Linked DNA regions of Arabidopsis thaliana. The protein of the gene in region 3 interacts with the protein of the main gene of each other region in a biochemical or structural test. Each region holds a gene or a part of one and is shown on either strand. Other genes may lie near its edges.

What was found.
Region 1: the proteins of CUL3 (region 3) and AT1G21780 form a complex in vitro, tested with the Arabidopsis thaliana proteins (one study listed by BioGRID).
Region 2: the proteins of CUL3 (region 3) and BT3 form a complex in vitro, tested with the Arabidopsis thaliana proteins (one study listed by BioGRID).
Region 4: the proteins of CUL3 (region 3) and BT5 form a complex in vitro, tested with the Arabidopsis thaliana proteins (one study listed by BioGRID).

What each region holds. Positions count from the first base shown.
Region 1 is NC_003070.9:7,649,531-7,654,779, forward strand, and holds AT1G21780 (BTB/POZ domain-containing protein), read left to right. Parts: upstream 1-2,396; 5' UTR 2,397-2,467; coding exon of another isoform or gene 2,468-2,719; 5' UTR 2,720-2,945; coding exon 2,946-3,058; intron 3,059-3,137; coding exon 3,138-3,283; intron 3,284-3,523; coding exon 3,524-3,639; intron 3,640-3,730; coding exon 3,731-4,336; 3' UTR 4,337-4,484; downstream 4,485-5,249. Other genes in the region: FBP7 (F-box protein 7), read left to right, coding at 190-273, 366-478, 573-786, 921-994, 1,089-1,142, 1,238-1,345, 1,434-1,492, 1,724-1,934 and 1 more; AT1G21770 (Acyl-CoA N-acyltransferases (NAT) superfamily protein), read right to left, coding at 2,313-2,396, 2,468-2,719; AT1G21790 (TRAM, LAG1 and CLN8 (TLC) lipid-sensing domain containing protein), read left to right, coding at 4,827-5,085. UniProt on the Arabidopsis thaliana protein: May act as a substrate-specific adapter of an E3 ubiquitin-protein ligase complex (CUL3-RBX1-BTB) which mediates the ubiquitination and subsequent proteasomal degradation of target proteins.
Region 2 is NC_003070.9:1,704,587-1,710,393, reverse strand, and holds BT3 (BTB and TAZ domain protein 3), read right to left. Parts: upstream 3,659-5,807; 5' UTR 3,199-3,658; intron 2,751-3,198; 5' UTR 2,586-2,750; coding exon 2,367-2,585; intron 2,290-2,366; coding exon 2,159-2,289; intron 2,083-2,158; coding exon 1,468-2,082; intron 1,392-1,467; coding exon 1,262-1,391; 3' UTR 1,034-1,261; downstream 1-1,033. Other genes in the region: AT1G05700 (Leucine-rich repeat transmembrane protein kinase protein), read right to left, coding at 1-411, 511-598; UGT74E2 (Uridine diphosphate glycosyltransferase 74E2), read left to right, coding at 5,755-5,807.
Region 3 is NC_003070.9:9,292,916-9,299,129, forward strand, and holds CUL3 (cullin 3), read left to right. Parts: upstream 1-2,649; 5' UTR 2,650-3,016; intron 3,017-3,137; 5' UTR 3,138-3,147; coding exon 3,148-3,308; intron 3,309-3,421; coding exon 3,422-5,459; 3' UTR 5,460-5,714; downstream 5,715-6,214. Other genes in the region: RNS3 (ribonuclease 3), read right to left, coding at 1-68, 169-367, 479-634, 718-807; ORC6 (origin recognition complex protein 6), read left to right, coding at 5,907-6,026, 6,121-6,167. UniProt on the Arabidopsis thaliana protein: Component of the cullin-RING ubiquitin ligases (CRL), or CUL3-RBX1-BTB protein E3 ligase complexes which mediate the ubiquitination and subsequent proteasomal degradation of target proteins.
Region 4 is NC_003075.7:17,669,479-17,674,312, reverse strand, and holds BT5 (BTB and TAZ domain protein 5), read left to right. Parts: upstream 1-1,959; 5' UTR 1,960-2,158; intron 2,159-2,313; 5' UTR 2,314-2,320; coding exon 2,321-2,542; intron 2,543-2,633; coding exon 2,634-2,764; intron 2,765-2,858; coding exon 2,859-3,165; intron 3,166-3,260; coding exon 3,261-3,707; 3' UTR 3,708-3,832; downstream 3,833-4,834. Other genes in the region: AT4G37608 (uncharacterized protein), read right to left, coding at 3,884-3,976, 4,125-4,190, 4,283-4,355, 4,457-4,488. UniProt on the Arabidopsis thaliana protein: May act as a substrate-specific adapter of an E3 ubiquitin-protein ligase complex (CUL3-RBX1-BTB) which mediates the ubiquitination and subsequent proteasomal degradation of target proteins.

The DNA.
Region 1 (5,249 bases), 1.6 Mb from region 3:
ATTTAGAGATTGATCTGGTAGTCTCGTGAATGTGTTCAATTACAAAATTGAGAAACGAAAGGTTTTTAATTTATTCATATTGAACTTGTATTGATGCTATCACTGAGTTTCAAGGTGAAATTGTGAGCTATTTATTGATTCTTTTGTGAAAGAAAGAAACTTGATTTCATTGGTGCTTGTTTGTCACAGATGCTCTCACTATACCATCTGAGCTTGAATCTGCCTTGCGGCTCAGGACTGTACAATACTTTATTACAAAAAGGCCTTGGCTTGGTACATCTCTAATCATTTAACACTCATTCTCTTGTCTGTTTTCATCTTATCAAGAATTGGGTTTATGGTTTGTAATGAGTTACATTTTACAGATCTTTATGGAGTCCATGTGAGGCCTGTGCCACCATTCGGAAGTACAAGCCGTAAACCTCATTTTGATCCAGCTTTGATTCATCGTTGCTTGCCTGATGAGCTTCTTTTCGAGGTTGGAGCTTTCTTTATACTATGTTTTGTCATTGTACTGAAATTTGTTTTTCTTATGTACTGGAGAAGTTGATTCTTGGATATGTTACTTGTAGGTGTTTGCTCGGATGATGCCTTATGACTTAGGTAGAGCATCTTGTGTTTGTAGAAAGTGGAGGTACACAGTTCGAAACCCTATGTTCTGGCGTAATGCCTGCTTGAAAGCTTGGCAGACTGCTGGGGTTATCGAAAACTATAAGATCTTGCAGTCTAAATATGATGGATCATGGAGGAAAATGTGGCTTCTTAGATCCAGAGTTCGTACTGATGGTAATCTTTCTTTCTTCATCCTCTTGCTTCACGACATTCTAGCGCCAAGTGATTGTTTTCTTTTGTATGCTCTGACTAACATCGTGTCTTGTTATATCTTTATTGATTAAAGTAACTATGTATCTTCTTCTCAGGTCTTTATGTGAGTAGGAATACTTACATTCGAGCTGGAATTGCTGAGTGGAAGATTACAAATCCAGTTCACATTGTAAAGTCTTTGTCTTTTTCTTTCTTTTCTTCTTCATCTGTCCAATACAGACACATATAATAATCTGCGTCTTCTTTTGGAAAATTTGTTGCAGGTTTGTTACTACCGCTACATAAGGTTCTACCCTTCTGGCAGATTTCTTTACAAGGTTTGCACTCTTCGATATAAGTAGGTATAAACGTTGAGCTACTGGTGGGATCTAGTCTGATAATGATCCATCCGTATTTGTTGTTATTCCTTCAGAACTCTTCACAGAAATTGAAGGATGTTGCCAAGTACATGAACTTTAAGGCTTCTAAATCTGAAAATCTTTACAAAGGCACTTATACACTGTCAATGTCGGATGATAAGGTTAGCTCCCTCTACTGCCTTTTGGCTGGTAATCAACAACATTACATCTTCATAATCCTGATTACTGAAAAACATGTTCTTTTTGCAGATCGAAGCAGCTGTTCTGTACCCAGGGACACGCCCTACTGTCTTAAGGATTCGTTTAAGGTACTTCAATCCCTCAAAATATGTGGATAGAGAAGACTTCTTTTTAGTAATAGCATTTAGAACCTTGGTCTGGCATTGGGAAGAAGGCCTGTTACTTATCTTTTAAAGTACCGTGTCTAGTACATTCATCTAAGACTTATCTGATCCGGTGAATGTGATGGGGTTGAAATTTTTAGTAGCTGATAGTCATTTTGATCTTCTTGGTGTGGATATGTTTTCGGGTGTGGTTAGGTTAAGAGGAACAGCTATTGGAGCGAATAACAGGATGGATTTGCTGTCACTTGTGACAAGTGGTGTGAACGATGAGGAAATAAGCAGCACAGAAGAAGACATTCTTGGGTTAGTTGAAGGTTGGGAAGACGATGAAACTCACAACCCGGATATACCTGCCGTCTCACACAAGAGGGGTATGACTGCATTCGTCTTCGTTCCTTTCGAAGAGGTAAGTAAACTATAAATTATTGTATACTCTTCCCACCTATAATCTTAGTTACATTGATTTGATCTGAATATCTTCCTTGATGTTATTAGGTTGACGAATCGGTTCTGAACTTGCCACCGGAGAAAATGGATTACTATGTCACTGGCTAAAGAGACACATCGAAGTTTCTGTACAAAAATGTATCATAGAATAATGTTTTCACGTTATATTTATTGTTACGACAAACATTAGTGTTTGTTTGTTGCTGTCGAATTGTGAAAAACATACATTTTGGGATTTTTGTTTGTTTACAGAGATTACTTGAAACAAGCTTTACTATTGTAAGATAATGTTTTCAAGTTTTTATTATACACCAAAAGGCTTTAAAGCAGGACTTGATCAGATGCTAGACTTGAGGTTCTTGGAATCATCCTCTGAGTGAACCAGACGCTGCCACGTTGGGTTTCGATGAAGAAACGTTTCCTGCAAAACACGACATATTTTCATAAGAATCTGATTCATCTCAATTTTTTGAGGAAAGAAGAGATGTATACGGAAACGTAGGAGCAAGTGGGGATGATGGAGAAAGAGTGTTCAGAGGCGTGTTCGAAAGCGGCGACGCATAGATGCGAAGCTAAACCAAGTCCTGCTTTTGACGGCGGTACGAAGGTTCGAACCAGATCCATGACTTTACCGTCATTCTTCATCTTGTACTCTATGAAGGCTTCGTGATCATCAGTCTCGAATCTATGTCTTCCTTCGTTCCACACGATCTTCGGTTTCTCCGTCGCCGTCCCCGTCGCCATTTTATCTGTTATCTCTCTAAGTCTAAGTCCACTCTCTTTCATTTCAAACCGAGAATTGATTTTAATATATCGTTAGTAAACCGGTTTAATGGATAAAAACGTATAATCGTCGTACACGTGGCAGGCGATGGAGGCGGCAGAGTGTTTTGCTTGCTTCGTCGTGTTATTTGGCGTGAAGTAAAGAGTTCAGAGAGAAAAGGAAGTCAAAACTTCAGAGAGAAAGTGGATGGGGGACACGAAGGTAGAGACAATCTCGAGGTTAGCTCAATGGAGAATTGAAAATTTTGGTCCTTGTTCTTTCAAAAAGTCCGATCCTTTCAAAGTCGGAATTTGGAATTGGTAAGCTTTTCATTTTTGGTTTATTTTGGTAAATTTTCTTCGGAATTTTGATTTTTGTTTGTTTTGGGATATGATGAAGGCATCTGTCTATAGAGAGGAATCGCTATCTATCAGTGAGGCTATTCCCAGAACTTTCTCGAGTATCTAAAGAGCAACCTCCTGTTGCCAAATTTGTTCTTCGTGTCTCCAACGTTGGCCCCAATCGTAGATTCTACATCTCTCCTGGTATGTCTTGTCTTTGAATTGACTTTTCTGGATTTGGAATTTGAATTCTATTGTCGAGCTCGAATTAGGTATTTCAGGAAAGGGAATTACCTTTTATGTGGGAACTATATTCAATTATGTGGAATCTGAAAGATATTAATTTAGATGTTAATGATTGGCTGATGATTAGTAGTACCTTATGGGATGGTTACAACTGAATTAGGTTTGTTTAAGCTGAGATACTCTGTTTATTTGGTGCAGTTTATGAGAAGCTGCTGCGTACAACTGATGATTGTGTGTGGCATGTTGACTCCAGTTTCCACGGTCGATTCACCATTGATGTTGAGTTTCTTGATCTCAAAATCTGCCCTGTGAATGTAAGCTTAATGATTCTATTTATACTCTCACAATTTCTTCTCTTTGTAACATTTGTACTTCCATGGTTGATCAAATCAAATCATAATCCAGGGTGGTGAAGCTTCTCCTGTTTGGCCAACCGATGCAACAATGCAATCAATCTCTACTCAAACCACTCTCAAATGCTTATCCCGGATGCTAGAGGAAAGCATACTAACCGATGTAATCATCCACACAGCCGATGGAACACTCTCTGCTCACAAAGCTATCCTCTCAGCTAGCTCAACTGTTTTCAAAAGCATGTTCCACCACGACCTCATGGAAAAGGAATCATCCACAATCCACATAGACGACATGTCGAGAGAATCTTGCATGGCTCTACTAAGTTACCTCTACGGAAACATAACCCAAGAAGAGTTCTGGAAACACAGGCTCGCCCTCCTCGGCGCTGCAAACAAGTACGACATAACGGATTTGAAAGCAGCCTGCGAGGAGAGCCTAATGGAAGATATAAACTCGAGTAATGTGCTCGAGAGGCTACAAGAAGCTTGGCTTTATCAGCTGGAGAAACTGAAGAAAGGGTGTTTGATGTATTTGTTTGATTTCGGAAAGATTTATGATGTCAGAGAAGAAATCAGCAGTTTCTTCAGGCAAGCTGATCGAGAACTGATGCTGGAGATGTTTCAAGAGGTTTTGTCTGTGTGGAAACCGGTCTAATATACACTTACACACATACTTTGAACATTTCAGCTTGATGGTGTTTTGTTTATAGTCTTCTTGTTCTCTTCTGTGTGTGTAACTAACAACAACTCTGGATTTTGTTGTATCACTCTGTCTAATGTATAGTATTGAGTGGATTTGCCTCTAGTTTGGTGTACCGAGCCTCTCAAATGGGCCGAGCCTTTCAAATGGGCTGTGACTAGGCCTAATGACTGTCGACATCGAATGTCGGCACAAAATATGATAATTTTGTCGATGTTGAAATCGTACGTTTTTTGTTTTAATTAGATGAGTCAGCATCAGGAGGATGAAGTATCGACCGACACGTGTCCGTTGCGTCCCAAAGTAAAGCTTATAACGTGAAGGCATTTGTATCGTCTCTTCCGCCAAAATTGGAAATGGATATCGAAGTTTGAGCTAAGAATCCAATTTAGGGTTAACTTTGCCGGATTCTCAAGCAATCTCCGAGAGAGACAGTGAGGTTTCGATGGCGAGGAACGGGATTGGGAGTTCAGGAGGGAAGAAGAATGGGGCTGGGCAGTTTTTCTTAGCGACGCTGCTTCTTTGGCTTGTCTCCGTCGTGTTTGAGATTGCTTTCAATCTCCGGACGGAGCTTCTCTGGGTGATTTGCGGTGGATGCTTCTTTCAATTGATGAATTGGGTTGTTCGTTCATGGATTTCTCGTGACCCTATATTTGTTAATACCTCTGTCTCGCTTTTGCACTCAATCATCACCTCCGCATCAGGTCCCTTTCTCTCTTCTCTTATATTTGAGTTCTTACTATAGGATTGTGCTCTGTTAGTGGGGAAATTTTATCATAGGTGTGCACATTGGTCGTTGGTATTAGTCAATTTTCCTTTGGTGCTGTGTTTTCACGGTTTCATTGCTTAATGTGATTCTTATTTCCGA
Region 2 (5,807 bases), 7.6 Mb from region 3:
TTCCTTTGCCTTTGTTTCCCAAACACACAAATATGTTCTCAGATTGGCTCAAGTAAACGACTTCTTTGGAAACAATGCTCGACCCATTGCTGAGCAAGACGGTATCCCAAATATTGCCACCAAGAAACAGATCAAACTCCGGTGAACCATTTTCTCCATCGTAGTTACCGTACATGAAACTAGCTCTTATGAGATATTTCTTGCCCTTCCCTTGTATTGGAATCAATGTATAGCAGTTTCTTGAACCTTCGGGAAAGCTCCTCAGGTTTTGAAGCTGTCTTTGAGCTGTGAAAGGGATCGATTTGGAGACTCCGGTTTCGACAAAGGATGAATCTGAGACGTAGTTTATACCTGTTGTGTCGTCTTTGTACGATGATCCACTTGGAATTCCACAATCGATGCTTATGAAACCTGTGATCACGCAACGAGTTAAAGTTATGAAAAGAATAAAGGATTAGACTTTCTTCACTAGAAAATAGTTTGAAAGATAAATGAATCAGTTAAGAAAACCTGATTGGTCTTGAGCAAGAACAGAAACGACGAGACACAATGCAAATGCTGCTGAATATATCAAATAGAGAAAACGAAACTCTTCCATTTTCGTCTGGTTTCTTGAAAAACAAGGAAAAAGAAGACAACTAAAAATGGGGTTGAGATTTTTGATGTGATGAAGTTTGAAGTTTTCATTTAAAGACACAAAAATAATTATTCTGACGTAAAGTCTGAAGACCAAACATAAACAAATTGGAAGTTAAAAGTGATTTAAATTAGCTACTTGCTCTTGGTGACATTGCAAAGTCAAATCACCATCAAAAGTCAACGAGAGACCCGCCGTATATATCAATTATTATCCTTACAAAAAGAAGTATAACACTCAAGAAGGTTGATTTTCATTTTTCATGAACTAGGATATATATATTTTCACTAGATAACTCAACTTGAAATATGTTAAGTCATGACAATCATGATATAAATAACATTAATGTATATCTTTTTTGTCTGCCTCTAAATAAAGTCGTTTAGGACCAATATTATTGATTTGAATTTCTAACATAAAATGAGTGATGATGCAAAAACTTCTTCACATTACTGTCACGAATCACGACTCGGCATGTATATAACAACCAACTTGATATAGACAATGTTTGTTCAAAACCACTATTGTGCGCCGTATTGGTGCGCAATATACACTATACCCTGCGCCTATGTACGTTTTCTTTTTGTGTCTAACTGGCTATACACTAAAATCTAAAACCTGTTTCTATATCAAACCAGAAGAACGTGACGAGAAGGGCCCGAGACTGTTCCTCGCCCTAATAATGTTTTCTACAAGCAATCGCCATTTAGATTGTTCTTTCTTGCTAAGCTTCTTCATTTTCTCCTTGAAATTCCTACAAGGTTAAGAAAACGATTACCATCTGTATCTTAAGGTTGTTGGCGTTGTCTGAAATGTGCGATATAACTTACCAGCAGAGAGAAACTTTGCAAGAATTAGAATCATCACAGATACAAGAGTGAAGCTGAAGAAGCTGCCACATCCTTTTGCAATGAGAACATGAAGCCCTAGACTTGCATCCCAAGAAATGTCTGAGCGCACCTTCAAGCCCTTTACACGCCGGGAATTTACACACGGTATGGCTTCCTTTAAGGGCCTTATCGCGAGGTCCAATTGTCCCACAACCTTCACGACATATGTGGACAAGAGCTTCCATGGCTTCATAGAGCTGCAAATACACTTCTCTCTCCTCCAGTTTTCTTCTTCTTTCTTGTTTCCTACTGTCGGATTCGATGACTGCCTCAATGAGCTCTTGTTCGAGCAAAGGATTAGAGCGTTTCATCACTTTCCATCCCTCTGTTGAAGATACAGATTTGAAGTCTTTGATGACCATGGAAAGACATACAAAGCAAATCCTTGTCACGTCACAGTTTCTCGCTAGTTGAAGCACATCGATCACATTCTCCTTGTTAATCCATCCTTGATCGAGAATCTCTACACAAAGTCTTTTAAGAGATGGGACCGAGTAGCAATGTGACAGAACCAATAAATGGAGCACAAACTTCTTCATTTCTTCCTCCTCGTAGCTGTAGGTTTTAATATCAGGCATGGTTCAAAGGAGAAACAAGCATTACGAAAGCATTTGTAACACATAGAACATACCAGGAAGAGTATAGAAACCTAATGAACATGTAGACTGCTTCACAAGGAACTCCATGGATTTTGAGGTATGTATTCCCATTCTTATCCCTCGATTGATTCAGAAGTGTCGCTATAACTGGTGAGGCTGCAGCCTGCAGAAGACAAAAACCTTGTAATATTGATCAGTAAGCCCGGAAAATGAGCTCAATTACCAGTTAATAAAACTCACCAGGACACTTGAATGGGCAGGAAAGTGAGACTTGTTATCGGTTTCAACATATGTATCTGCTCCAGATCCTTCCTTGAAAAGCTTATCCCAAGTTTCAAGTGCTTCTTTAGGCACAAGGCGCATTAAGCTCGAAGGTTTCCTTGTACTAGATTGAAAACGCTGGTAGGTAATACAAGGAAGAGGAGGAGGTTTTGGAATGTTCTTGGTACTACTAGACATCGTTGCTGGTGAAGTTAGGTTGAAGCAGAGTCAAGACATCATGATCAGGAGCATAGAAAGACTCTTCTTCTTCTACTCCCGTATCGAACACTTGCGAGAATGTATGATCTGAAGAAGCTATGGAATCAAACCCGCGAATTGAAAATAGGTTACGTGTTCTTTAATCTGTTAAGATCAAATGCAAGAAGCAAACATAAGTTATATATCAGAGTTAATAGTCAATCTCAGGTTTCTCCTAGTAAATTTACAGTAACCAAGATTCAAGTTCCCTAATCTGATGCAACCTCAGAATTTAAGAATCAAATGTCCATAAACTCAAAATAGTCCTACTTAAGCAAATCATTGACACAAAGTTAGCAACTTTTGATTTAAAAATATCGAACAGTGACACGAACAAGACTAAATTAAAGAAGCTTCATTAGACATGAACATCAGTGACAGTGAGAATCCAGAGGTAGAGATACAGTCATAAAGAGATTATCAAGAACAGGAACAAAAACATCCAATACGGAAGATTCTGAGTCATTAAAAGAAAGAAATCAAATTCAGAGAATAAGAATTATTAGGCAAGAACAAAAAAAGAAAATAAAGGAAGGGTCTTGATCATTCTTACCCAGAAAATCAGAATCGAAGATTTACCCAATTCTCGGAAGAATCATCTCTTTGATTCAGTATCTCTAACTAGTGAAGTTCACAACCATTGATCTTGGAATCACGAACCCAACGCTAACAGAAAGAAGAACCTTTGGTGACAAGTGGTTTCGTAGTAAATATCACACAACACAGAAACCAAAGGTCACGAAAAGTATGTAAATTTGCTTGCATACATAAACGTTAAGCAAAAACGCCGTCGTTTAAGTGGGAGAATCAAGAATGAAGAGTTAGTTGTTTCTGAGTTCTTCGAATGATAAAGACAAATGGGCAAAAGAAATTATTAAAAGTATGAGAAAACAACAGAGTGGAAAAATGAAGGCCACGAATGTTTATAAAATAAAAGTTGGAATGATTTGGGGGATAATATAAGGTTGAAATACATATGGCTGATCTTCAATTGCACCAAAGATCAAAGTTAGTGAATCCTTGTCACCAAATATAAGCACATTATCTTTACCGACTAGCCGGTGAAAATATAACACCGACGACCGACCAATTAATATGATACAAATAATGAAATAAGGGTCAAGTCATCTTTTTTTTTAATTAATTTAGGTTAAAAATTAAGAAAATAAAATGACAAATAATTAAACGATTGTGTCAAGTAAAGGAAAATAAAGATCTTGGAATTTAATTTAATTTAGAACAAAACAGATTTCTGATAGTAAACCGTAAATTTAGTGGTGGCTATATTATGCAGCAAGATTATCAGTTAACTAGATTTTAATCTGCGGTATACCGCGGGGTTATATCTTTTTTAAAAACTAAAAAGTTAATTTGTTTAGTAGATTAAATAAATATAATTCATTTTAATATTTTCTAAATGTACAACTCTTATATATATATATATATATTATTTAGTATACAATTACTATGTTTATTTTTTACTGTTTAACAATATAGAAAGAATAACACACAGTTTATTAAGTTAAAATTTAGATTATAACTAAATAATTCAAATTTTAATTATATTAATTTTATTAATATAATGATATTTTGATATATATATATATATATATATATATATATATGATTTCACCCATGATATACTGTCTCGTATTATTATCGATCCAAAGCCGTCATATCATCTAATCTCGTTCAGTGAAATTAAACATATCTAATAGATTTCACCCATGCTATACTGTCTCGTATTACCTATCGACCCAAACTCGTCATACCATCTAACCCCGTTCAGCGAAACTAAAAATTATTTTGTTATTTTTGTTTTAATAATACTTTAATTTAAAAGATATATAATTCAAATCAGTTTAAAAGTTTTATTTTAAATGGTTATTTAATTGTTTTAAAATTCATATATTATAAATATTATAAACCCGTCTTATCATCTAATCTCGTTCGGTAAAATTAAACATTATTTTTTTATTTTTTGTTTGAATAATATTTTTATTAAAAAATTTATAATTCACATCAATTTAAAAGTTTTATTTCAAATGATTATTTAATTTTTATACATTTCACATATTATAAATATTATAAAACGTTTTTCCGTTAAATATTTTAAATGTTTAACTAACTATAATATTTATTTTTAATAAAGTATAATATTAATAAATTCCTAAGATTTCTCCTTTTTAAAAGTAATTAGAATTGATGGAAATATATTAGATAAAGAAATGCTAATAATTAAGAATATTAATTAGTTATAATAATTAAATATCAATGACATCCACTGTAAATAAGTCCCAACTTAAGGATTTATTTACTAAAATAGCTCCAAAAATGTATATATAGATGTTATCAAAATTCGAATTAAAAAGTTGTAAAAAGACTCGGAGGCGGTCAAAATCAATTTTTTTATTTTCTTGCATAAATTTGTGAACTCCAGAGAATTAAGAATGACCAGTGATAGAGCTCCACGTGGATAGATTGGGTTCCAAAGTGGGACGGCGTTAAATATAAAAAGGCCGGAAGTTGTCGAAGTAGTCTTTTTTCCCATTATTTCTGTTTTCGGTTCCTTATTTTGTTCCTTTGTAATAATGAGTGACATCAAAAATATTTGGGGACGAATTAACAGGTAATGTAAATAGAAAGAAATAGAAAATTTTCTTTGATTTTACAATTTGGATTCGGATTGCATAAGCAATGACATCAACAGTAATACATAGCTGAGAGGCTGAGATGCAGTGTCTCTCTCTCAGGGAAGATGACAAAAAGAATCTGATATACACGTACGTATGTTGCGAGTTACATATTGATATATCACATGTCATAAGTCACATGCTAACGATAAACTAATAAACTAAAACAATTATGTCAACATATATCGGTGAATTGCATTATCATCGACCTCGGTCACTGTTCCGCACATCTTGGTCGCCACGGAACATAGACAATTTTTGGATTGTAGTCCAATTAATGAGTCCCCCACCAAAGCCGTAGTAAAATCGAAGTCGTTCTCTAATCCAATCATATATATATCCATAACACACACCAACAACACCCACACAACAAAAACTAGAGTCAGTAACAACACAAGATTAAAAAGAAGGAGAAAATGAGAGAAGGATCTCATCTTATCGTCTTGCCTTTCCCAGGACAAGGCCACAT
Region 3 (6,214 bases):
CCCAACTACTTGTTTGATCGTATTCTCAATATCTTTCATTTCATAAAATTTATCATCCGGTTTGATCCCTACATCATGCAACACAAAATATAATAAGAAAAGAACATCCACTTATACATAACTAACAATGGAGATCAAAATGAAGGGCAAAACAAGTGAATATTGTACCAGCATTGGTAAGGGCATGAAGGAGATTAGCTTTCTGTTTGAGCTTGAGACCAGCTTCGAAGTAATCGTGTTGGTCAAGCTCGGACTCAGCGCACGTACCGTGTTTCTCCCACTCATGTGTCCAAAACTTCATACCATCATTGCTCGGACACGACAACGTTGGCCATTCTCTTTGTAAATCGCTCATCAGATCAGAAACCTTTATAAAAGTTTTCGATTCTCATTAGTTATTTACGATTCTTTTCTTGTGGTTAATAATTTCCGAAGTCCCAAAATACAAAAACTATTGTGTTATAAGTTAAAAACAAACCCGTAAATCATCAAATCGACTGTCAGGATTACAATTTTGCGGCCATCCACCGGTTTTGTAGTTAGGCCAAAGACCGTGAATTCCAAAATCTGCAGCTGGTTTACCGGTTTGTGGATAGCAACAACTATGTCTTGAATCACAATACGCTCCAGGCCACTGCATTGCAACGCACATACACAAACATAAAATTTCAAAGTACAATGATAATTCTTGTAGAGACATTTATCGACTTTAATTACCTGTAAAACGAAGTAGAAGAAATCGAAATCTTGGGCGAAACTTTGTACGTAGAGTTGTTGTAACGCTAGAATAAAAATGAAGAATTTCATTTCCTCAAGATATCAAATAATTTGTGGGAATCAAATTTGTCGAAAACCAATGAAGGATGGATGATAGATAAATAGTTTAGAATATGTTTATATAAGTCATATAACGTGAAGTGTGATATTTTGTTTTGGGTAGAGAGACGTGACGTGTGATTGGTATATGTTTGCTTAATTGTGTTAGGTTAGTATTTCGTGCAAGCATTTTATTTTCAGCTCCAATGCTTTAAAAAGTAATAACGTAAGGCAAACTTTTCATCATGCTTCAACTACAAAATTATGAGTATTTTGTAGCTCCAATTAACGTAACGTAAGGCAAACTTTCCAGCTCCAATGTTTTAGAGCTAGCCGAATATTATGTGTCTCAGTATTTATAAAATTATGAGTATTCGATTGGAAAAATAAATAAAGAAACTCTTATAGTATTCACTTAAAGACCTTTGTTTCTTAAATTTTAAATATTTAAATCCACTTAAAGATCCTTGTTTCTCATAAAGTGTTAAAGACCCATAAAGGCATAAATCAAACCATTGTCCCGTCTCGGAAACGTACGTCAAGTTTCTTGATGAGGCGCATGTTGGCTACTTGGTTCTACTTCTACAGTTACAGACTCCAGTGTGTACCGTATTCTATCAAGTTCTGCATTTATGCAAGAACCTTAGGTATCACAAATATTTGGGGGCAATAAAATTATAAAAATTCCTTACAGTGCAGCGATTTATGTCACATTTTCAGCCAAGAGGTTGTGTGTTCGAGTTCCCTCAACTACTTCTGCTAATTTTTTTATTAAAAAAAAAAAACTTTAGACCGCCCATAACTTTGAGCCGGCAATGATCCTACCTCACAATCATACTAAAATCTACCAATGATCCTTACCATGTTTTGGCGCTTGAGGTGGATACGAATAATCCACTAGTTGGGTTAACCTTATAGGGAAGGTGAAGATTGTTATAAAGTTTGTAGATTATACAATGAAAAGTAAGAAGATAGGTCCAAGTCAAAGTTTGTATGATTAAAACAAGAAAGATGGTATATACCATGCGTTGCTTTCCAGAAAATGGCTTCAAGAAAGCAAAGACAAAGAATATCATCATGAGCTTGACCAGGGATAAGGAAGAAGATCCATTGACGTGTTTACAACGACAAAAACTAGTTAGAAGTTAGAACATAGTGTCGCTGAAGTTGTGGAGGAAATGCATTTTTTAAACAGATGCATAGAGACGATTGAATATGGCATCGAAACAGTGAATGCAAGCAACAAAGGTTGGTAAACTGGTGAAGAGAAAGGTAACAGACGATATAACTTTTTTTGTGAATGAATTAAAAGGGATTTTTTTTTTTCGTCAAGAAGCTGAAATTTCATTAAACCGAAACTTAAACCGATACATAAGTTGGTACAATAAGTGCATAATTTAATGCAGATTTTGCATATGCATATGCACAACCGTTTTTTTCTCTAAAAATGAAGTGAAAAGAAATTTGATCGAAATTAAACGAAAGAGCAAGAACATCTTGGAAAATCACGTAGAGATTCTTTGGGAAGGATTCTGAGTTGATAGCTTTGATCAGCGTTTGCAAATCTGAAGCGAAGGTGACTTCCTAAAACCGAGTTCTAAGGCATTTTGTTGGGCTAGATGAAGCGCCATGGCTTCTGCCAAAAGAGGAGAAGCAACATTCGCCACTCTAAGGGATTCAAAGCCTCTTTATGAAATAGAAGTTGACATATTTTTAGTTCAATTAAATGAAATGACCGACGTGCCAATTTGTCATATCCACATAAGTATAAAAGCTAACTAAACCTCCAATGTCAAAAAAAAAAAAATAACTGGCTTCGACTAGGGATCGATCCTTGGACTTCGATATTTCACAATTCTTTGTAACCAATATACCAAAGGACGAGAATGTGACAACCGCGACTTTAATTTAATAAATACGTTATAGTTTGGAAACCACCAGCAGAGACGGAGAGTCCACTTTTATTTCTTCCGCTCCGTTTGGTCTGTCCTCTTCTTCTTCTCCACCTTCGAAATCTATCTTCTCCGATACCTCTCTATCTATATCTCTTCGACGCTGCAAATTAGCCTTAAGCTTCTTTCTCCTTTAAACTTTTCGATTATTATTCCATTTCCTATCTTTTTGTTTCCCCCAAATCTTTTCACGGAAGCAAAGAATACAATTCCAAACCCTAATCCCGATCATCCGTCTTTCCTCTCCGGTCAGTCTTCCGATTTCCTCGATCCACCTGATTTTCATTATGATTATACATATATACTTTCTTCTCGCTCGTCAATTTTTTCGTTGCTGTGTGAATTTAGATTGATTTGTTTTGGATTCAGGTTTCAAAATATGAGTAATCAGAAGAAGAGGAATTTTCAGATAGAGGCGTTTAAGCATCGAGTCGTTGTGGATCCCAAATACGCTGATAAAACTTGGCAGATTCTTGAGCGTGCGATCCATCAGATTTACAATCAAGATGCTAGCGGTCTCAGTTTCGAAGAACTTTACAGGTCAATTTCTTTCATTCTCTTGCCTTTCTTTGAATCCTGTAGAAACTGGTAATGTTTCTGGAACTTAGCTAGGTTTCGTGTTAATGGAATTATTTGTGTATATTGTGGCTCAGAAATGCGTACAACATGGTCCTGCACAAGTTTGGTGAGAAGCTATATACTGGGTTTATTGCTACTATGACTTCTCATCTCAAAGAAAAATCCAAGCTTATCGAGGCAGCTCAGGGAGGGTCGTTTCTAGAAGAGCTTAATAAGAAATGGAATGAGCACAACAAAGCGTTAGAGATGATTCGAGACATTCTCATGTATATGGATAGGACTTATATTGAGAGCACCAAAAAGACTCATGTTCATCCGATGGGGCTTAACTTGTGGAGGGATAATGTTGTGCATTTCACTAAGATACATACAAGGCTTCTAAACACTCTTCTTGATCTAGTGCAGAAGGAACGGATAGGTGAAGTTATTGATAGGGGGTTGATGAGGAATGTCATTAAGATGTTTATGGATTTGGGTGAATCTGTGTATCAGGAGGATTTTGAGAAGCCGTTTTTGGATGCGTCTTCTGAGTTTTATAAGGTTGAGTCTCAGGAGTTTATTGAATCTTGTGATTGTGGGGACTATCTGAAGAAATCAGAGAAACGCCTTACTGAAGAGATAGAGAGGGTAGCGCACTACTTAGATGCCAAGAGCGAAGAGAAGATTACTAGTGTGGTTGAGAAAGAGATGATTGCCAACCACATGCAGAGACTGGTTCACATGGAGAACTCAGGTCTGGTTAATATGCTTCTGAATGACAAGTATGAGGATTTGGGTAGAATGTACAACTTGTTTCGCAGGGTTACTAATGGTCTTGTTACTGTCAGAGACGTTATGACTTCGCATCTTAGGGAGATGGGAAAACAACTGGTTACTGATCCGGAAAAGTCAAAGGATCCGGTGGAATTTGTACAACGTCTATTGGATGAGCGGGATAAATATGACAAAATCATCAACACCGCATTTGGCAATGATAAAACCTTTCAGAATGCCCTGAATTCTTCATTCGAGTATTTCATCAACTTGAATGCTCGTTCTCCTGAGTTTATCTCCCTGTTTGTTGATGACAAGCTACGGAAAGGACTTAAGGGTATCACCGATGTGGATGTTGAGGTTATCCTTGATAAAGTGATGATGCTGTTCCGTTATTTACAAGAGAAAGATGTCTTTGAGAAGTACTACAAGCAGCATTTGGCTAAAAGGCTTCTCTCAGGCAAAACTGTGTCAGATGACGCAGAAAGGAGTTTAATAGTGAAACTAAAGACAGAATGTGGCTATCAGTTCACTTCAAAATTGGAAGGCATGTTCACTGACATGAAGACTTCAGAGGACACAATGCGTGGGTTTTATGGCAGTCACCCCGAGCTTTCAGAAGGACCTACACTTATTGTTCAGGTACTTACAACTGGTTCTTGGCCAACACAGCCTGCAGTACCTTGTAATCTCCCAGCTGAAGTTTCAGTTCTCTGTGAGAAGTTCCGTTCTTACTACCTTGGGACACATACCGGTAGAAGATTGTCCTGGCAAACAAACATGGGCACAGCAGATATCAAAGCCATCTTTGGAAAGGGTCAGAAACATGAACTGAACGTGTCGACTTTCCAGATGTGTGTTCTCATGTTGTTCAACAATTCTGATCGACTCAGCTACAAAGAGATCGAACAGGCTACAGAAATCCCGGCAGCAGATCTTAAACGCTGTTTGCAGTCGCTAGCTTGTGTAAAGGGCAAAAACGTGATAAAGAAAGAACCCATGAGCAAAGACATAGGAGAGGAGGATTTGTTCGTTGTGAACGACAAGTTCACTAGCAAGTTTTACAAAGTGAAGATCGGAACTGTGGTTGCCCAAAAGGAAACAGAACCGGAGAAGCAAGAGACGAGACAGAGAGTGGAGGAAGACAGAAAACCTCAGATTGAAGCAGCCATCGTAAGGATCATGAAGTCCAGGAAAATACTAGACCACAACAACATAATCGCCGAGGTGACGAAACAGTTGCAGCCACGGTTCCTAGCTAATCCCACGGAGATAAAGAAGAGAATCGAGTCGCTCATTGAACGAGATTTCTTGGAAAGGGATAGTACAGACCGGAAACTTTACCGCTATCTAGCCTAAATAAGTTGAATACCACAACCCAAAAAAAAAAGGCTTTACTCTGTTTCTTTCTTTGCTTTATTTCCTTATGTTTGATGTAAAATCTTTTGAACTGTACGGTAGTCGGTAAGAACGAACCAACACAGCGTCACTACCGGTTTAATCGAATATACATTTGTTTCCTTTTCTTTTGTCTTTCATCAGATACCGTATGTGATTTCAGCTTCTGGACACGTTGGGCCGGCTCGAGGCCTTTTAAGGCCCATTTTAAACGGTTAAGAGCCAAAAAAAACATTCGCGGCTAAAATTTCAACCAGGCGTAAAAAAATCCCGCCAAACGTTGGCAACGCTTTGTTTATAGCGTTTTCATAGCCTAATCGGTTCCATTGACATTTCTAGGGGAAAAAATCTCTCACAGTGTCTGACTTTGGTTCTTTGTCTTGTAACAATCGCCGGAAAATTAAGGATATGGATATCTCCGACATAGGTAGGAAACTTAGTCTCGATAACAACAAGCTTTTAATCAGAAAAGCTGCAGAGATCCGCCGTCTTTGCGATGCTCAGTTCGATTCATCCATCATCGGCGTTGTAAGATAAATCCGATTCTGAATCCCAAAGTTTCACATCGAGTACTTTGATTATAATTTTTCCTTATGTGTTGAGAATTTGATTTTTCTATCAGGGTGAGATCTGTAAAGCTGTGATTTGTCTAGAAATCGCCGCCACTAGGTAAATAATTATCGTAATTGATTTATAACGATTTCAATATCCATAGT
Region 4 (4,834 bases), on a different chromosome or scaffold from region 3:
TTGGGTTTGTTAGGTTTCACTCTATCCCTCGAAATGAAAATCGACTTGCAGATGCCCTTTCAAAATTGGGTCTTGCTTCAATTTCGTCTTTGTACCCGGTTGACTCCGGTTTAAATGTTTAATTTCTAATGAAAACCAACTTTCGCACAAAAAAAAAAAAAAAAAAATGAACAAACAAAGTGTATACAATTCATTAATTTTCTACAACGACAACTCTACAAGTATTGATATGATGATAGATAAATTAGCTAAATAGTGAATAAAATGTCAGTTGTTTAATAGACCACGTTGAACATACACGTTTTAAAATCAAAACACAATCAATTTGTTGACGTGTTTAGACATATTCGATAGTTATTTATTTCACGGACACAGAAATAAATTAGTTTTTACTTTTAGTGATGGAGCTGTTATAGGCATGATTGTTGTACTTGTTAATAATTTCCCCTAATTTGTCATATTAGCAATCGTAAAAGAGAAAGTGCCTCATGAACTATATGAAGAGGTCAGCGTGAGCGTGCCAGCAACTTGAGAGATTCGTGACCAAGTATCTATCAAAAGAGCTCTATTATTTTTTGAGGCTGAGTCAGCGACTAATAATTTCGTTATTAAATTACCGCTTTTTCATTTGTTTAATCATACTTTTCGTATACTCTATGGTTAAATCGTTAATTTGTCGCGAAGAGGCAATGTGACGTTTTACACAACATAATCCAACAAATGAAACAAAAAGATATTACCATAACCTATTATTACCTATCACAATCTTACCTAATCTTTGTCGGTCTTTGAAATGGTACATTGCCCATCGCATAAAGGGGTATGGTGCGACTCCGGCTCGTAGCAGTTCCGTGGGTTGATGAATGGTTGTTTCAAAACAATAAATGTTTCAACTTGGACGAAGATAATAATTTCATGAAAACGAAACCATTACATGACTATCATCATTTCATTATAAGAATATAAACATGGACGAGCTCAACATTTATTTAGCTGACTCCTTCTTTTATCATGTGTTTTATATACAAATACATGACTAGGATCTGACACTGTAGTATTAGTATTACCAAATCTTAAACTAGACCTAATTTTCCCTGATAAAATAATTTAAGGTTATTTTATTCCGCTGACATTTAACATGGTATAATATATTTGGACGGTTCATTTCAAACATGTAGAATATTCTAATTAAATAGAAGAGACTTTATAATCATATTAATCAATATCGATAACGTATTATCCACAATGCAACTTATTACCCTTTTTGCCATGTTTTGTGAACCGCTTGGACCGTACACCAACCCCAAAATACGGTAGTTCAAATGCGGCTAGCAATGTATTTTGTTGATTCTAAAAAAAATTGTCGATTAGTTATATATATCAGACACTATCTAAAATACCCGTTTTAAGTATTTGGAATTAATAAAATAGTCAAAATTGGAATACTAATTTCCCATAATTACTAAACTTTTATTTTACTCGTTTTACTTATTATACTATCCGTTATGTACGAACTACATTTATGTCGTTTGTTTTATCTGTTTTACTCTAATTTGCACCGTCGAAACCATCAATCCACTAAAAAAAAGGGTAAATTGTAGGACTAATTAATGGATATCCATTAACACAACCATACATCTTAATATGAAATGTGTGTACCTTTTCCAAATATACGTCGTCGCCAACAACTATACAATGGATAATTAAATATAAAGCAGAACATTTGGATAAAGGCCAATATTTGATTAAAGACTTGGATATAATGTGAAGGCATATATTTGTTTTTGGATAGAATAAAACTAAAAAAAGTGTGTGCTTAGGAAAGTTCGTCCGACGTGTATATGAATCAGCAAATACTTATCTTGATCCTCTCCGTGTGGGTCCCATTTCGACGTGTTCACATTTTCCACCAATTAATCAATTTAGACCATTATAAATAGTCTCCCGCTCGCTTTGCTCTCTTCTTTCTCTTATTTTCCTATTCTTGAAAACACACAACACATCTCATTTCTCCGCTGTTTCGTCGGCAAATTTTCCCATTTTTGATTCCGAAGATAATAGATATTATCAACAGAGGATAAGGATAAAACCCAGAACAATCATTATAATTTAGTGGTGAAGTTGACCAAATTTATAAACTGATCCAATTTTAAAATCTGTAAGTCGTCAATATTTCTGTGTTTTTTTCTTAGATCTATAAAACTGAAATTCGTAAAATTTGTTAAATTCTCTTTCTTTAGATCCAATATTTGATCTCCTATGCATTTTCATACAGATTCTGAATCTGATTTTTTTTACCCTAACCTGTTACAGAAGAGATATGGAGAACATGGACGATTTCTCACCGGAGAATGTTTTAGCACCACCACCACCACCTCCTCCAATGAAGAAGTCAACGGATCTGTTTATGCAAAGAAGCAATAGCTTTGTTTCTAAAGCTACGAGAGATTCATGGGATCGTATGTTCGACGAAGCTCATGGAGCTGATGTTTTGATTCATACTGATGATAATGGTTTGATTTACGCACATTCTAATGTCATCGTAAGTTCTCTAATCCAATGCTTAGAAAAATCAGTAACATTGTTTTTTGTATTGAATCTTAATGAAGTTTTATCTGTTAAACTTTAATTAGGGAATGGCTTCAGATGTAATCAGAGGAATGATGAAGCAACATAAGAGAAAATCTCATCGTAAATCGATTTCAATCCTCGGTGTTCCTCACCACGCTCTTCGAGTTTTCATTCGATTCTTATACTCTTCTTGGTAAGTAGCAAAAGTTTTGGATTTTACAAATCTTTGGCTATAAACATTTAGGGATACATACTTAAACATTTTGTTTCTTGCTCTGTTTTTGTAGCTATGAGAAACAAGATATGGAGGATTTTGCAATACATCTACTTGTGTTATCACATGTCTACGTTGTACCGCATTTGAAGCGAGTCTGCGAATCAGAATTCGAAAGTAGTTTGCTCAACAAAGAGAATGTGATTGATGTGTTTCAGCTAGCTCTTCTATGTGATGCTCCTCGTCTCGGTCTTCTCTGTCATAGAATGATTCTAAACAACTTTGAAGAAGTTTCTACTTCTGAAGGATGGCAAGCAATGAAAGAGAGCCATCCTAGACTTCAAAAAGAGCTTTTACGCTCTGTCGCTTACGAGCTTAATGTAATTATACAAAATCTTAACAACTTTCTTTACCCCAAAGTCTTGTACTTTCACAGTTTTCTGATGATTTTTGTTTCAAAATTTTGTCTTTGCAGAGCTTGAAGCAAAGAAACAGGAAACAGAAGGAGATACAGACTTATACACAGCTCTATGAAGCAATGGAGGCTTTTGTTCATATATGTAGAGATGGATGCAGAGAAATAGGTCCAACAAAGACCGAAACCCCGCATATGTCATGCGGATTTCAAGCGTGTAATGGTTTAGAGCAGCTATTGAAACATTTGGCGGGATGCAAACTAAGATCAATCCCTGGTGGTTGTAGCCGTTGCAAGAGAATGTGGCAGCTTCTTGAGCTTCATTCGCGCATTTGCGTAGACTCGGAACAATGCAAAGTCCCTCTTTGCAGTAGTTTGAAAGAGAGGATGAAGACACAGAGCAGGAAAGATGAGAAAAGATGGAAACTTTTGGTGAGGAATGTTTTGAGCACCAAGAGAATTGGAGGATCTCCATTCTTTTTGCAAGCAATTGATGTTACTTTATGAGTTATGACATTATTATTTGATTGCTTTTAGATGTAGAAATTACATATTTATACATGTACATAGGTTGCAGATTCTTTGTAAAGATAGATTCAAAATTTTCAAACCTAAGATCCAATCTTTGGCCCATTCAATCCCGGCCCAAAACCGGCCCGGTCTATCATAGAAAGTTGAGTTCTTCAATGTTCTTCATCATTAGTAGTTACAGTTGAAGGAGATGAAGCTTCAATTGTTTCTCTTCCCTCCAACACATTTTGAGTTTCCTCCATTTTCTGCAAAACCAATACATAAGCACAATGATAAGAATGTGAGAATAAATCAAATCAAGACGTAATGGCACTCAACCACACGGTCTTTAAGGTCCTCGAAAATCCTGTCGTTATTCTCTGTCGAAAAGTATGTTCAAGAAGAGAGCATTACCTTTTTATTTAAACTATGAGTGTTCATAAGCTCATAGAGTTTACGCATCATCGTCTCATGTTCAACCTGAAACAAAAGATAAAATCACAAGTTTAACGATCTCTGGTCTTTAACTACACATCACAAGCTCATTAAAAGAGTTTTTTTATTCATCATACCTCAAGTTTTTGGAGTTCTTGCAACATGTTCTTTTGAGCTTCTTTGAGTAATTCAGTCTGTTTCTCCAAATGCCTTTTTGACAAAAAAAAATTAAAAAAGGTTAACAACGGGTAAATTAAGTAAACAGATTACGGGGGACAAAGAAGCTAAAAATTTGAATAAATGAGAATTACTTCAACACATCATCGGTATGTTGCGGTTCCATCCTCACAAATGATCAAGCTTTATTGCAAATCAGAATGCTGTTGATACCTCGTAATCGTGTAGGTGTTCTACATCATTAACTAAAAGTAAAATCTGATCAGCGACACAATAACTTATAACTAAAATCTCCCAACATAAGACTTTCTTCTTTCTAACAAGATTATACTCCTCCACTGTCCACATTGATAATATTTGACTTGGGCACAATCATACATACAAATAGATCAGAGATTCAAAATCTGGACATTCAAATTCACTTCTTAACTCTACAAAACACAGTGTTAAACAAGAATCAGATAACACAATTCAACACTAAATATCAAAAAAGAAGACTATTTACTGCCACA